Linked DNA regions of Pelodiscus sinensis. The protein of the gene in region 1 purifies or fractionates together with the protein of each later gene. This does not show direct contact. Links are inferred from orthologs where the notes say so. Each region holds a gene or a part of one and is shown on either strand. Other genes may lie near its edges.

Region 1 (7,727 bases):
AAATCATGGTGGGAAAAAGCATATGTAGTGATAACTAATAGTAACTATTTGTATAACTACAGCAAACTCCATGGCAAAAGCAGATTTAAAAAATGCATGAGTTTACTGTAGTTTGTCTGGGAAGCTGTTCTTCACTACATTTTATTAGCATTAGCAAGCTGAAGATATCAGAGGGGTAGCCGTGTTAGTCTGAATCTGCAAAAGCAGCTTCTCCTCTCTTGGAATTCACACCTCCAGATCAGCTACTAGCAGTGGGCCTCATCCTCGGTGATTGGATCCACCTCGTCATCTCCAGCCTGATTCTGGCCTGCATATTTATACCTGCCCCTGGAAATTTCCACTACATGCATCTGATGAAGTGGGTCTTTGCCCACAAAAGCTTATGCTCCAACACTTCAGTTAGTCAAACATAATGTAAGCGGGGGAATGGTCCCGCTCTTGTGGGGAACTTTCCTGGCTTCTATACACCCCGGTGAAATGAACCAGCGAAAGGATCTGAGTCCCCGCTCCCACTTCCTTTACCCCACGGCTCCCTGATCCTGAGGGCTCCCCCTCCACTCTCCTGAGTAGCAGAGCCCTTGAAACCCCAACAAGGCTGGGCCCAGGTTTCCTGGGGCTTAACCCCTGACCTTGTAGTCACTAGGGGCAGGAGTTAGGGTGTCCCCACTCCGAAGTGCTCTCTTTACACTGCAGGCCTTCTTGGCCCAGTGATCACTTCATAAGGTTCAAAGCAAATACAATTTATTAAACATCAACTGATTAAAGAGAATAGAATAAGAAACAATGAGAATGGTTAAATGAGAACACACAGCCCTGCTCTGTAGCACAGGGACATCAAAACAGCAGTCTGCAGAGTTTAAGGACAGTCCACAGTCTCTTCCTTAGAAGCCCTGGAAGTGCTGCAAGGGGCTGCAGGCTGGACACGCTTGCACTGGCAGTGACCACACAGCCTCAGTCTCTAAGTGGCCAGACCCCTCTCCCAGTCCAGAGCCTTTCTCCACACTTTGCAGGTCCCAGTAGCTCACCACATCCAGCTGCAGGCTGTGCTGCTTGGCCAGTTCCAGCTCCTTGTGTTGCCTCTCTGTTCCTTTTGGCTTTCTGAGCACTGCCAGTCTGCTGCTCAACACAGGGTCTGCACTGCTTGGCCTGTCTGTGTCTGGTTCTGTCGCTGCAGGACTTCTTCTTGTACTCCTCTTTCAGCTCTCTGTCTTTGCAGGACCTCTTCTGCACACAGCTTGTTTGTTCAGAGACAGAGCCAGAACAATCCCCACTTACAACCTGTCAGTCAGGCTGAGCTGGAGTGTTGACTGCTTTCCATTGTCTCTGGGGTCTGTCAGTCTCATGAACCCTTCCCCTTCTGAAGCTGGTAAACCAAAAAACTCCCACAGAGTTTTAGTAAGGGGTAACAGTCCCCTTACAATAAGGTGCCACAGGACTCCTCGTCGCTCAAGTTGAAGATGCAGACCAAAAATTACATTACAAAGATGATGGAAAGTTTAGCAGGTCTGGTTGACATACTTACAAAAGACTGAAGTAGTGATAAACTCATTCTCATATTGGATATTTGTATTAATATTGGGGATTTGAGTGTGAAGCTAGATGGCTTATTGATGCTACAGAGGCAGAAAGCTGACGGGGTGAAAGAAGAGCTAGTTATGAACTTCCACACCAGTAGTCTGGAAAGTTAAATTGCACATTTAGGCCATGTCTACACTATGAGATAAGAGCAAATTTACTAAGGTCAGTTTTTTGTAGCACCTGATTTTGTCAAGGTCCATGTTCCTACTGTTCACATGAATTTGACACAATTCAAAGTAGCATGTCCACATGGGGGCTACTGTCAGTTTTGAGAGTTATGTATTCTGGTTAGCTATCCCACAGTTACTTCGCCCCTTGCATTCTGGGTTATGTTCCCAGTGTAAACTGGAACCAAAACTATGCAGTGAGTGCTTCTGGGGATATGTCGTCAGCATCTCATAGTGCACTCATCTCCTCCCCTTCACCCCACCACTTGAAAGCAGTGGTAAACAATCACTTCACACACTTTTTTCCCCTTGTTATCCACATATAGCACATAGCATGGACTCCATCATGGATTCTGTTGAGCATCAAAGCATTACGATAATCATATTACTCAGAGTGAGCCTTATCTTAGAGCATGTCCAGGGTCCGCTGGAGCGAGGAAGAATCTCGTCAGGCCATGAACATATTCTTTTGCAAAGCACTTGGGTTGAGCAACTGGAAATGCTGCCAACTTTCAATTCTCTGGACACATAGGGACATTGGTTCTGGTGCTATCGGAGAAGCACATAATGGTGGGATGGCATAGTTATGGGATGACTGGCAAGAGCTGCAAAACTTTTATATATGTAAGGTCACTCTCATGAAAGTTTGTATATGGCTTTCCCCCACCCTGAAGCACAAGAATACCAGAATGAGATCTGCTCTGACAGTGAAGTGAATGGCAATTGCCCTATGAAAGCTTGCAATGCCATACAGCTACCAGTCAGCTAGAAATCAATGTGGGGTGGGTAAGTGTGCTACTCAGGTGTGCTGCCTGCTCTGAAGTCTGCTAGCCAAACTGGAAATGAAATTCAAAATTTTCCAGTTCTTTTCCTGGTCACTTGGGGTATGTTTACACTAGCTCATTAATTCGAGCTAGATAGGCAAATCAGGCAACTGGAGTTGCAAATGAAGCCCAGGATTTAAATATCCCAGGCTTTATTTGCATGTTCCTGTCCGGACGCCATTTTTAAATCCCCCTTAGTTCGAACGAACTGCCTGCGGCTACACGCAACAGTTTAAAGTTAATACAAACTAAATTCTTAGTTTGGATTAACTGTTACTCCTCATGGAATGGAATGAGGTGTAACAGTTAATCCGAACTAAGGATTTATTTAAATCCTGGGCTTCATTTGCAACTCCGGTTGCCTGATTTGGCTACCTAGCTCGAATTAACGAGATAGTGTAGACATACCCTTGGAGAGCAGTAGAGTTGAAAGTCCTGGCCAGAGTGGACACTGTGGGGTACTATAGGATGCATGCTAGAAGCCAAAAACTATGGGGCTATGTCTACATTGGCGGGTTCTTGCACAAGAACACATCCACACTGCCATGTGCTTTTGCGCCAGAGCATCCATGGCAGTGTGGACGCTGTCTTGCGCAAAAAAGCTCTGATGGCCATTTTAGCCATAGGGCTTTCTTGTGCAAGAAGCCCCTGCCGTGTATCCACACTGCCCTGTTGCACAAGAGGGCTTACACTTGTTAGAAAAGAGCGTAACTCTTCTGACACCATACTGTAAATCTTCTTGCACAAGAGCAGGTGGGCAGTGTGGATGCTCTGAGGGTTCTTGCACAAGAACCCGCCAGTGTAGACATAGCCTGACAGGGGTGGCCAACCTGTAGCTCCAGAGCCACATGTGTCTCTTCAGAAGATAATATGGGACTCCTTTCATAGGTACCAAATCCAGTGCTGGAGCTGCAAGTGCCAACTTTCCACTGGTCCAGAGGCTGTTCAATCCCCAACTCTGCCCTAGGTGCTGTCCCCCTCTGCCCTTTTCTCCTAGGATCCTGCCACTTCCCACATTCTCCACTGAACCTGTCACACCCATGCTTCTCCCCTCCAGTGTCTCCCATTCAGAAAGAGCTGATCACAGTGGGCAGGAACAGGCTCTGATCAGTGGGAGTGGGGGGATGTGCTGACAGTGGTGGTGAGGACATGATCAGGGCTGGTGACATATAACTGCTCTTTGGCAATGTGTATTAGAAAATTCTGGCTCCTTCTCAAGTTTAGATTAGTCATGCCTGAACTACGACTTTCTCAGCATTGTGTCTGAACTACCATAAAGTTGACCATGCAAGGTCAAATTTAGTGTCATTCTAAGCAGGAGTTCCAAAATTGACCTTAACTGCACTTAAAGTCAACAGAATTGGGATGGGCATAGTGGTTTCACTGTTTAGCAAATCAACCTAAGACAGTCAAATTGACATAAGCTCCCAGCTTACACCCGGCCTTAGTTTTGCAAATGACCTTTCTGATTGCTAAATGCCCAGCTCAGGGCCTCAAATCAGAATTTTCCCTTTTCTGTTAAATCACTAGTGCCAAGGAATTGTCAGGAGTGGACAATGTAATACCCTGGTACTGACATTGCTTCTCTTGCCAGCTCTCTACCTTTTTCAGTGCAGCCAAAATGCAGTTGCGAAGGGGCCCCCAACCCTGGGATTTCTCTACCTGTGTCTGTAAACAAGCGGGGAGACAGCCCCCCCCCTCCCCGGGTGGGCTCGCAGAGGTGGGGGTGAGGAAGGACGCACAACCCCTGCCAGGCAGGGCGCTTGAGGGCGTCCCTACAGCAGGGTACGGAGCCGGCGGGCAGGGGAGACGAGGGCTGCGAAGCGCGGGACAGCAGCGGCTAACCGGCCACCAGCGTGCGACCCCCAAGGCGGGGAGGCGGCCCGGGCCGCTCCGCGGAGAGGGCAGCGCTGGAAGGCAGCGATCGCTCGCTCGCTGGCTGGCGCGGGCCGGGGCCGCTCAGCACTCCGGGGCGCGCTGCGTGTCGGCCACGGGCAGAGGAGCGCCTGGGGGACGGATCCTGGCTGCCCCACCCGAATGGTCCCTCCCACCCCTCTCCCGCGCGTGGTTTGTTCCTCCTCGGCTCAAGGAGACTCCGAAACAAACACTCCCAGCGCAGCGCGGCCGCGAAGGAGTCCCCCACCCTTTGCCTTCCCTTCGCTCTCGCGAGACTAGTCCAGCTTCTCCCTTAGCGCCCAGCAGGCCGCTGCTAGAGTTCTCGCGAGTTTTGGGCAGGTTCCCACGCCTGTTGCCGCTGTTGTGTCTGAAGGGAGAACCCGGGAATGAGGGGGTGGCGCGCTTCCCCCACTCTCTCCGCTCCGCGACCGCGTGTGTGTCTCACGGGCCCGTGCACGCGCGCACTCGGCCTGGGCTGGAGGAGGCAGCTCTCGCGAGAGTAGGAGTTTTGGCGAGAGTTTGTGGAAGATGGCGCCTGTTGTGACAGGGTAAGTGCGGGGGTTTCGCAGCGCCGGGCCGGGAGCGATTCCGTTCCGCGCTCACCGGCGGCCACGCTGGGCTTGCTGCTTCCCAGTTCTCCTTCCGGGGATGCGGGAGCAACTAGCCGGGCGGCCCGGCGGAGGCCCCGAGACTCGGACCCAGGGGGGTTGGGACCCCCAGGTGGCTGCATCAGGGAAGGCCCCCGGGCCATAGGCCGGGATCCTGAGGCGCATAGTGTGGGGTGGGGTGGGCCGCCCTTCCCAAATCCTGCGTGGGACGTGGGGGAGCCTTCGTGCCGGACACCCCCCTTTCCGAGGTGAATGCCTTTCGTGGGGTCGGAGCACCCTTAGCCACCGGCCCGGGGGCACTAGACAAAGGCTCTTGTCTCGCTGAGGGGAAGCTGAGTGCTGCTTCCCCTCCTTCGTAGTCGAGGGGGGCAGAGCACCTCCGTCGTCAGTCACCGGGCTGCGCTGAACTCACCAGGCGCTAGGTCCCATCAGTAGGACAAGCCTTTCCCCAAGCAAATCTCCTGCTCCCTTTCAGGAGTGGGTGGAAGTTCCCGTTTCCCTCTGCCTGTTCACCGTTCTTGGGGTTACAAGTGACTATCGGTGCCAGCAGAAGAGGAGAAGCCTTTCCCACTCCAGCTGCTCCTCATTGAGTCACAATAAAGACTAGCTGCCATCCTTATCAGCGCCACTGGGCCATACGGAATAATGACCTTCCACCTGTAATCTGTGTGATGTTAATCAGTGGCATATGACTAATCAGCTTTTGTTAGGTAATAATGGTAGACTCACCATAGTGGTACAGTGCATCAGCAGTCGTTTTACACATCTCTGCTACATCTTGAGTTACACTGCACATAGCAGGCATCATTCTCCACTCTTGGGTCACACTGTATAGTTTCATCCACTCCTCTGAATACATAGTGACTCTTGAGGAATGGGGCTACATGTACAATAGCAGGCCTTGTCTGCTCGCACCCTGATAGTACAAAACAAATTCCTGATGGGTCTTAATATTGTTGAACATCTTGACATGGTGGACTTAATTTGATATTTTTACAGTGATTGTCAAAGACACGCAGAATACTCTTTTACTCTTTTTCCTTGTTGAGATTACTCTGTCTCCAAACATGGCTATTTGGTTAGAGAGACTAGCATCCTGCCTTTGCTTTTTTTTTGGGGGGGGGGGGGGGGGGGGGAATATTGATAGTTGTTTTTGTTTTCTTGAGAAAAGTGGCATTATAGTATTTTTCTTGTTTCATTTTGGCCTCAGTGGTTGTTCCATTTTTGTTTCTTGGTTGTTGAGAACAAGATCTAAACTGCTGCCTTGGAGGTTGCCTGGTTTCTTTCATGTTCAAATGGAGCTTGCTTCTGCTGTGTTTTTTTCCCCCCCTAATACACATTCTTTAAGGCAGCAGGTGTTTGTTATGGTTTCTGTCTGGAACTATTTAGAATTGTAAGGATGAGGGAACAAGACGAAAAGTGCTTTAAAATGTTGCTTTAAATACTGCTGGGGTGGTTATGTATTAATTTTATTTCAGTTTATTTTCTTTTCATTTAATTTTCTGATCATTTGACAATTATATCCTTTGCTCGTTGATTATCAAAGTGCTGTCTAATGTTCTCAGGTTTGTGTCATCCTGTGTCTTAGGATATATATGCTACATTTTCACTAATTCATAAGCCAAATCCATAATGAAGTTTCTTATGAATTACAAAATCATGCTAACAGTAGAAGAAAGGCTTGTGCTTTAACACGAAAGGAGAAAAGTGTGCTGGAGGATTCTAAAGCCAGCTCCTCATGGGCATCGACTCCCCCCTCCCCCCCCCCGCCTCTTGCTTGTCAGTTAATTGTTTACTTGACTGTATGCTCACATCCCTACTCAAAACATGCATAATTTTAGTAATTCCTATTAAAGACTGGAATTCCTTGTCATTCCCTGTGACCCTGCATCAGAGTACTTACTGACGGTCAGAGTTGATAAATAAGACCCTGACTTATTTATTATTATGGATGATTGCTTCAAACATTTTGTATCACATAGGTAAGCTATAAAAGACATGTTAAGATTTATTATCAGGTGTGGCATTATTAAATTGACCTGCTGTCTGGTTGGTAGAACCTTGTTAAATCAGATGGCTACATTTTGACAGGTATAGTTTTAGTTTGCCACATAGATATTTAATGTTATAAAGGAGAATGAGCCAACTGGGATTTTGTCAGCTTTATCAGGTTCATGGATTAGTAATATTATATCTTAGTTTTGGATTAACAATGTTATATCCACAGTGAAAACAGTATGTTAAAATCTGATGACATTTAATAAGTGAAAATTTTTCATAAAGTACTGTAATAATTAAGAAACTTCCAATGATTCTAGTGTAAATCAGTCTCTCTCTCAAGTTTTAGAGAATAGCGGAGAAAACAGTTTGAAATTCAAAGTCTTTCTAGAATTAATAAATTCAAGAATATAGTTAATTACATTTTGCACTCATTTTCAGTGGTGGTATGCAATTTTTATTCACATTGAGATTGCTAGACAAAGTGTGTAAGTGAATGTTTGCGAATCAAACACAAGTTGAATGAATGCCTTTTTATAGAACCAGTCTTTCTGTGAAAACTCTGACTGCTAAAACTTAAATTACAGTAATACATCTATTCACTTGTGCCAGTAACCTGTTCATCAAATAGTGAGGTTAGCATTTCACCACAGAAG
Region 2 (7,859 bases), on another chromosome or scaffold:
GTGCTAGTAGTTATGCCAGATCTGCCCAGCGAACTAGGTCAGCAGCATCCTGACCTATGAATCTTGACCTGTTATTTCAAGAAACTAGCTTTGATTGTGAACGGGACAGAGGATATTTGTGGGGCCAAGAGAACTCTGCTTCCCAAGTGTGAACTTAGCAGAGAAAGTGAAGAGCATCTAATTTAATTCATACTAGGGGGGAAAACAGAATGCTAGGCTACACCAATGCAAAGATGTGGGTTGCCTGCAATAAGGGAGGGTGGCAATTGGAACTCAAGCAAAGGTGTGCAGGATGAGAGGTGTGGCATGGTAAATGGATGGGCAGTGATCATTTCTTCTGAATTGTATCCCAAAGCATGTGTTGCCAAGAAATAGAAAAAAGCCATACTGATGAGCGTACAACTGGGAGAGACATGGCAATTTCATGCCTTGGATGGCCATGTTGAGTGGAGTGTAGGTTTCTGTGGAGTGCGTTATTTTAAATGCCCAGTTCACGTACTAGCGGGATTGGGATTCTAAGTAACCTTCCTAGAGGGGGCTGTGAGGCCTGGGCATTCCAAGAACTCTACTGAAATTGTGCCAAGCAAGAATGGACTTTAGGGAGAAATATGTGTCGAGGACTTCCTGGGAAATACCCAAGAAGGTGATCATGCAAATTGCCAGCTGGGATGGGGCGCTGACACATGCACACTCACCAGAATGCATGGGGAAAGGTGGCAGGAGAGGCCAATTGCCTTTAAAGTCGCACATGCTCACAAGCTCAGGGTCAATCAATCAGACTGAGACTGAAGCACAGCTGGGCAGGAACAACTGGGGCTTGTGTAAAACCAAGATGCTGGCTGCAGAGGCAGGGAGGTGGCCTGCAGCTGCACACCCTGGTATGAGAGAGAGCAGGAGCCTGAGGAAAGCAGGGTAGGAAGCTATGGAGGGAAAGAATAGTGATGTCTGGGAGCTAGACCCGAGCCACTAGTCTGAGGATCCCTGGATTGGAACCCAGTGTAGAGGGGGGCTCAGATTCCCTTTCCAGGGGCACACTCAGCACAGAGGAGAGAGACTGCCTGAGACTGAGGCAGGGGAGACTGATAATACTCCAGAGGGGAGGACAAAGGTGACTTGCCTGGAGGACTAAGCCAGCGAAGAGTGGCCAGCAGAAGAGCCTGGTGGCACTACACCTAGGCACAAGTGGGTACTCTAGAGTTGTGTGTGTACCCTGCTACATAATGGTTCCAGAAGTGGGATTGTGCACACTCCTCTCTGAGGAAGCAGGGGAAGAGCCCATCTGCCTTAATGGTGAGGGGTAGGCAGCCAGACTGTGGCTAGCATCTCAACAGGAGCAGACACGTTCTCTTTTGTTACCTCTACTGCAAGAGCAGAGAGATTTCCTGCAGTGCCTAGAAAAATGCAGAAGTGGATTGGGCAAGTTTGTGGGAAATAAAGACTTTGTGTGAGGAGAGGAAAGAAACTGTCCTGACCATAGACCCTGATTGGCTGCCCCAAATGTGACCTGTAAAAGGTCTGAAAGCTTCATGAGAACATTGCAAAGGAGGCCCTGCAAATACATATCCAAGATGGAGAATTCTGGAAAGAACGTCATGAAGATGATGAAAGGTCAGGGAGCAGCTTGGGCTCTGGAAGCCTGGAGTGAGGAAGTCCCAGAGTCTGGACAGCTGCACTCTTGACCCAAGCCTTCTGAGCCTGAATCAGCTGAGGTGAGTCAGCCATGAGTGTGTTATGCAATGCAGATGTATCTGGTGCAGACCCAGACTCAGGGTTGGGTAACAGTATATAATGGGGGCAGCACACTGCTGGGCCAGTGTAGGGTCCTGCAAAGGAAGTCCAGATATTTGGGCATTTGCAGGTAGAAGACGACTTCAGTAGCCTGACAGCAGCATTACTCAGATTTAGATTTGTTCGAGATACCCCGGGAAGGGTTTGAACTAAGGATGTTAAGGACTAGTCGACTAGTTGGCTACGTCTAGACTGGCATGATTTTCCACAAATGCTTTTAACGGAAAAGTTTTTCCATTAAAAGCATTTGCAGAAAAGAGCGTCTAGATTACCACGGATGCTTTTCCACAAAAGCACTTTTTGCGGAAAAGCGTCCGTGCCAATCTAGACGTGGTTTTCCGCAAGAAAGCCCCGATCGCCATTTTTGCCATCGGGGCTTTTTTGCGCAAAACAGTTTTTAGCTGTCTAAACTGGCCCTCTTGCGCAAAAACATTTCCGGAAAAGGGCTTTTGCCCGAACGGGAACGTCAAAGTATTTGCGCAAGAAGCACTGATTTCGGACAGTAGAACATCAGTGCTTTTGCACAAAATCAAGTGGCCAGTGTAGACAGCTGGCAAGTTTTTGTGCAAAAGCAGCCACTTTTGTGGAAAAACTTGCCAGTCTAGATGCAGCCGTTGATTCCCCCTCCTTGCTGCCTCTCTCAGAGGCAGCAAATGGGGGGGAAAGAGGGGGCTCTTCAAAGCGGCAGTGCCGCACAGCTGAGCCTGGGATCAGCTGTGTGGCACTGTTGCATGTGGAGCCTGGGGTTAGCTGGGGACTCCCTAGCTGATCCTGGGCTCTATGTAGTATTTCAGTGGAACCCAGCGTCAGCTGGGGAGCCCCTAGCTCCACGTGGCATTTCAAATCTGCAGTTCCTTGCTAACCCCGGGCTCCATGCTGCGCTGCCACTTTGAAATGCACAAGAGCCCCTGCTGGGACTCATACTTTTCAAAGCTGGTCCCTGCATGCAGCCCAGAGTCAATGGGACTTCCCGCGGGCCCTGGGCTGCACAGGGAGTTCTGCATTCCTCCTTTGAAATGTACAAAAGCCTCAGCAGGGGCTCTTGTACATTTCAAAGGAGGAATGTGGAAGTGGGTATGAACTAGTTGAGTAGTCCATGCAAATTCCATTGACTAGTCAATTAACTGTTACTTAACATCCATAGTTTGAACTTTGTGAGTTGACTGAAGGTTTGAGCCACAAGAGCTGGAGCCAAAAGCAGTTGCCCAGTAGATGCTGGAGCTGAGGATCTTTGGTGACATTGCAGCTGGACAAAAGCGTGAATGTGCCCCTCCACAGTCAGATACGCGGATGTGCCAGAGTGGGGAACAGCCTTGACAATGTACTTCCACAACAGGTGGTATGTGAGGTCTCTACCAAGAGCCAATAGCCCATTCAACAGCATAATCGCTGCAAAATGGATGGATGGATAGTATTTTAGGAGCTGTGTCTAAACAGAAAATGATGTTCTCAGGGAAGTTTAACCAGCAGGTGACATCTCTGCCAGGTCCCTTTAAAGCAAACATTCCTCTCTCTGCCTGGTCAGGTGCTACTGGGCATTGTTTGTTTCTCAGTGTAGGCCTGTTTGCATGATTAAGAACCAGAATGCTAATCGAGGGATTGTGCAATCTTCCAGTGGAAACTTACCAGAAGAAACAAAACAGCAGGAGGGGATCCTGCCTGGGAGTGAAGACAATGGAGTGCTGGGAATTAATCCCAGCTAGGCATGCAGAGGAGGAAAGCAGTCAGTGTGACTAGCCTGGTGGAAAAGGGACAGGGGTGAAAGGATGTCAGGTGAGCATTGCAGGAATGCAGTTAAGTCTGGGGCTCTAGAACATGTTATAAATGGAGCCACGTGTTTCCAGTACCGCTACTGGCTGTCACTTGAATCTGTCTTCATGGTTAAATAAACTTGCTCTTACTCTCACTGTAAACATGTCTAAGTGTGTGTGGTGCAAAGCTGAGGTGGGCTGGGTAAGCTGCAGATACAGGTCTATGGGGAGCGGGGCCTGGCGGAGGCAGGGCCTGGAGCATGCTGGCTGCTCACCTGTAGTGAGGGAGCTGGGATGCTGAGACCTAGAGAGCAGGGCTCCTTGCCATTGGAGATGGTGGGGTGCCTCCGAGCCCAGGCATCGCGCTGCACCCTGCCCTGGTGGAGTTCCCCCTGTAGGACTCCCGAACCCTGGGGAAGGGCCCTTTGGTTCCCCCAGCTCCCTGGGGTAGAGGACTGTCTAACTCCCTTACGCTCTGACCCACTTCACCCCCTCACTGGTCTGCCTACCATGGAGTGTCTGGCTTCCCCTGCTCCCCAAGCTTCCCAGACTGGAAGGGAAGAGAGGCTGTGCCTGCCCCCCGCCCCCGGGCTCCCTGGCTGGACTGGGGAGCTATATCTGGCTCCCCCCTAGGACCCTGTGACGGGGGGGCTGTATCAGCCCCCCCCAGGGATTCCCTGGCTAGCAGGGCAGTATCTGGGCTCCCTGGCGGGGGGGCTGTGGTTGGGGGGTCTGTCTGGGTTCCCTGGCGGGGGGGGGGCGCTGTGTGGCGGGGGGGGGCTGTGTCTGGGTTCCCTGGCGGGGGGGGGGCGCTGTGTGGCGGGGGGGGGCTGTGTCTGGGTTCCCCGGCGGGGGGGGCGCTGTGTGGCGGGGGGGCTGTGTCTGGGTTCCCCGGCGGGGGGGGGGGGCGCTGTGTGGCGGGGGGGGGCTGTGTCTGGGTTCCCCGGCGGGGGGGGGGGGGCGCTGTGTGGCGGGGGGGGGCTGTGTCTGGGTTCCCCGGCGGGGGGGGCGCTGTGTGGCGGGGGGGGGCTGTGTCTGGGTTCCCTGGCGGGGGGGGGCGCTGTGTGGCGGGGGGGCTGTCTGGGTTCCCGGGGGGGGGGGCTGGGGCTGGAGCTGGGTTCCCGGCGAGGGGACGGGGGGGGGGCTGTCGGGTTCCCGGGGGGGGTGCAGCGGCCCCCCCCGGTGCCGGGCTCGCGGCGGGCGCCCCCTACCGGCCGCTGCGGGCGGCGCGCAGGAAGCGGGGGCGGGGCGGGGCGGGGCGGGGCGGGCGGCGCGAGCCCGGATCCCTCCGCTCCCGGCCGCGGCCCCCGATCGCTCCGCGCGGCCCGAGCCGCCGCCTGCTGCCTCCGCTCGGGGCGATGCGGGGGGGCCCGGCGCTCGGGGCGCTGCTGCTGCTGCTGGTCCGCGGGGCGCCGGGTGAGTGCGGGGGGGAGACTGCCCCCCCCCCCGAGAGACCCCCCCCCCGGCTCCTGCCCCCTCCGGCTCCTGCCCCCCCCGAGAGACTGCCCCCTTCCGGCTCCTGCCCCCCCCCGAGAGACCCCCCCCCCGGCTCCTGCCCCCCCGAGAGACCCCCCCCCGGCTCCTGCCCCCCCGAGAGACCCCCCGGCTCCTGCCCCCCCCCCGAGAGACCCCCCCCTCCGGCTCCTGCCCCCCCCGAGAGACCCCCCCTCCGGCTCCTGCCCCCCCCCGGGAGACTGCCCCCCCGAGATACTACCCCCCCCCGGGAGACTGCCCCCCCCGGGAGACTGCCCCCCCCCCGGCTCCTGCCCCCCCCCGAGAGACCCCCCCTCCGGCTCCTGCCCCCCCCGAGAGACCCCCCCCTCCGGCTCCTGCCCCCCCCGAGAGACCCCCCCCTCCGGCTCCTGCCCCCCCCGGCTCCTGCCCCCCCGAGAGACTGCCCCCTTCCGGCTCCTGCCCCCCCGAGAGACTGCCCCCTTCCGGCTCCTGCCCCCCCCGAGAGACTGCCCCCTTCCGGCTCCTGCACCCCCCCCGAGAGACTACCCTCCCTCCGGCTCCTGCCCCCCCCCCGAGAGACCCCTCCCTCCGGCTCCTGCCCCCCCCCCGGAGAGACCCCCCCTCCGGCTCCTGCCCCCCCCGAGAGACTGCCCCCCCCCCGGAGTGACTACCCCCCTCCGGCTCCTGCCCCCCCCGGAGAGACTGCCCCCCCTCCGGCTCCTGCCCCCCCGGAGAGACTACCCCCCCTGCTCCTGCCACCCCCTGGGGAGACTGCCCCCCCGAAGAGACTACCCCCTCTCCGGCTCCTGCCCCCCCCGGAGAGACTGCCCCTGCCCGGCTCCTGCCCCCCTCCCAGGGAGACTGCCTCTGCCCCCCCTGGAGAGACTGCCCCTGCCCCGGTCCTGGCCCCCCCCCCGGGAGACTGCCCCTGCCCGGCTCCTGCCTCCCCCCCGGGGAGACTGCCCCTGCCCCCCCCGGGGAGACTGCCCCTGCCCCCCCTGGGGAGACTGCCCCTGCCCCGCTCCTGCCCCCCCCTCCCGGGGAGATTGCCCCTGCCCCGGTCCTGGGCCCCCCCCGGGGAGACTGCCCCTGCCCTGGCTCCTGGGCCCCCTCGGTGGGGCCCCTTGGTGCGACTGTCCCTGCCCCTGTCCTGGGGCCCCTCCGCACAGGGGACCTTGCCCTGCCCCGTCTCCTTTGGGTCCCGTTGGTGTGGCGGTCTCTAGGGTGTGTGGTCTCCCTGCCATGCAGTACTATTTAGGGGCCTGCTCTGGCCCCGTTGCCCAGGGGGTCTCGTTGGTTTGGGGGTCTCTGGGGAGCTCACTCTTCTCCCATCATCCCAGCTCCCCTTCTTTGTGTCCCTTGGAATCTGACCTCTGCGCCTCCCTGCCTCAGGGCCTGCAACGAGTGTGGTGGGGTGACACCCCCGTAACCTCCCACGCCTGGCCCCACAAGTGTGGGGATGCGCATGGGAAGAGGAGCGTGTCCACTGCCTCTGCCAGCCCCCCAGACAGGGAGATGGAGGGAGACTGCCAGCCTGCCTCAGTACAAATTCAGACGTGTTAATGAAACTCTACAAATCAATAATGGCAACTTGGGGTTGGGGTGCTCTGTTGGGTTCCCTGTTGTGTTTACAAGTTGCTTGTGGCAGTGCATGGGAGCCGGGCAGGATATCGGACTAGAAACCGATGTGGAAAAACATGGGTCTCTTGTTTTGGCTAGGGAAGCACAGAGTGCATAGACAAGCACCCTGCGATATGAAATGTAATTCATTGCTAATGTAAAGTGTTATAGGTAACAATACAGGGAATTAAAGTACTTGTGCTGACTTTACTGTGCCTCTTGGAGCAGAGCAGAGTACCGCTTGAGGGCCCAGATCACCAGTTCTGGAGTTTTCACTGACTTCTGCGTGTTTAGCATGTTGCACTTGTGACACTATTTGGGGGTGAGAGAGGTATCCAGGGCAGATCTCTGTCACCTGCCCGCAGCATGAGACAGCCTCGTCTGTGCCCAAAGGGGAAGATTCCCTCAAATTTGCCAGCCACTGGGAGGACAAGCGCTCTGCTGCAGGGTCCATGGGCCTCACCTTCTGCTTGTACAGGCTGCCCCCCCTTTGATACACTCAGGTGCCGGGTCCCTTCTCTTCCATGTACCCACACAACGTTCACTCTTCTACTGCCTCCCTGGAGCAGTGCCCCAGCTTCACCTCAGTGCCACACTCTCTTTAGTGCATGGCAAGTCCTGTCTATAGTAAACCCAGATAGGAGTTTTTTTAGCAAAGCAAAGATAAAGATCTAAAACAGACACAAGTGAAAAGGCTGGAAACATGAGGTTACAGAGAAAAGAAAAACATTACATGCAAATCTAGTGCCTCTACTTTTTTAAAGAAGTTCTGTACCCATCTAGTAAGATACTTCTTACCCAGTGATCAGTTCTTACAGCATTTGTCCAATCTAGAGAAGTGGTAGCGACTGTTCCTGAAACACTCACGCAGGTGTCACCTTGGTAATGGATAACATCTTTCTTCTTGTCTGAGACAGCACCAGACTTTTGTTCCTTCAGAATCTGGGTGTTTCATTAACTTCAGCTCATCTCTGGGTCTCTTAAGTATTTTCTACACCAGTGGTGTTCACAGTTACTTGGCTTGTGAACCACATGCTCAAGCCGGCATTTGATCCAGCCTGTAAGCACAGGGCTGGGTTAGATCAGGTTGAAAGATGTTGACTGCACTCATTCTTGATTGAATTAGCTGAGACACACACCTCTCCTCAGGTGACATGCCTCACTGCATACAGTTTTCGAACAGAAGTCTGTACATTTTATATCTCTCCAAAATTTCCCCTGCAATTTGCAGTAACTTTAACCATC

Evidence for each region. Proteins that work in one complex are often made in the same cells at the same time.
Region 2: the proteins of RBPJ (region 1) and NOTCH2 purify together in Homo sapiens (affinity purification with mass spectrometry; 3 studies listed by BioGRID and IntAct, counting the BioPlex papers as one, with this or other methods). This does not show direct contact. The link is inferred for Pelodiscus sinensis from reciprocal best matches to the Homo sapiens genes RBPJ and NOTCH2.

The regions. Positions count from the first base shown.
Region 1 is NC_134715.1:101,460,275-101,468,001, reverse strand, and holds the start of RBPJ (recombining binding protein suppressor of hairless), read left to right. Parts: upstream 1-4,696; 5' UTR 4,697-4,993; coding exon of another isoform or gene 4,994-5,013; intron 5,014-7,727. UniProt on the Homo sapiens protein: Transcriptional regulator that plays a central role in Notch signaling, a signaling pathway involved in cell-cell communication that regulates a broad spectrum of cell-fate determinations.
Region 2 is NW_027465903.1:258,803-266,661, reverse strand, and holds the start of NOTCH2 (neurogenic locus notch homolog protein 2), read left to right. Parts: upstream 1-4,800; 5' UTR 4,801-4,897; coding exon 4,898-4,955; intron 4,956-7,859. UniProt on the Homo sapiens protein: Functions as a receptor for membrane-bound ligands Jagged-1 (JAG1), Jagged-2 (JAG2) and Delta-1 (DLL1) to regulate cell-fate determination.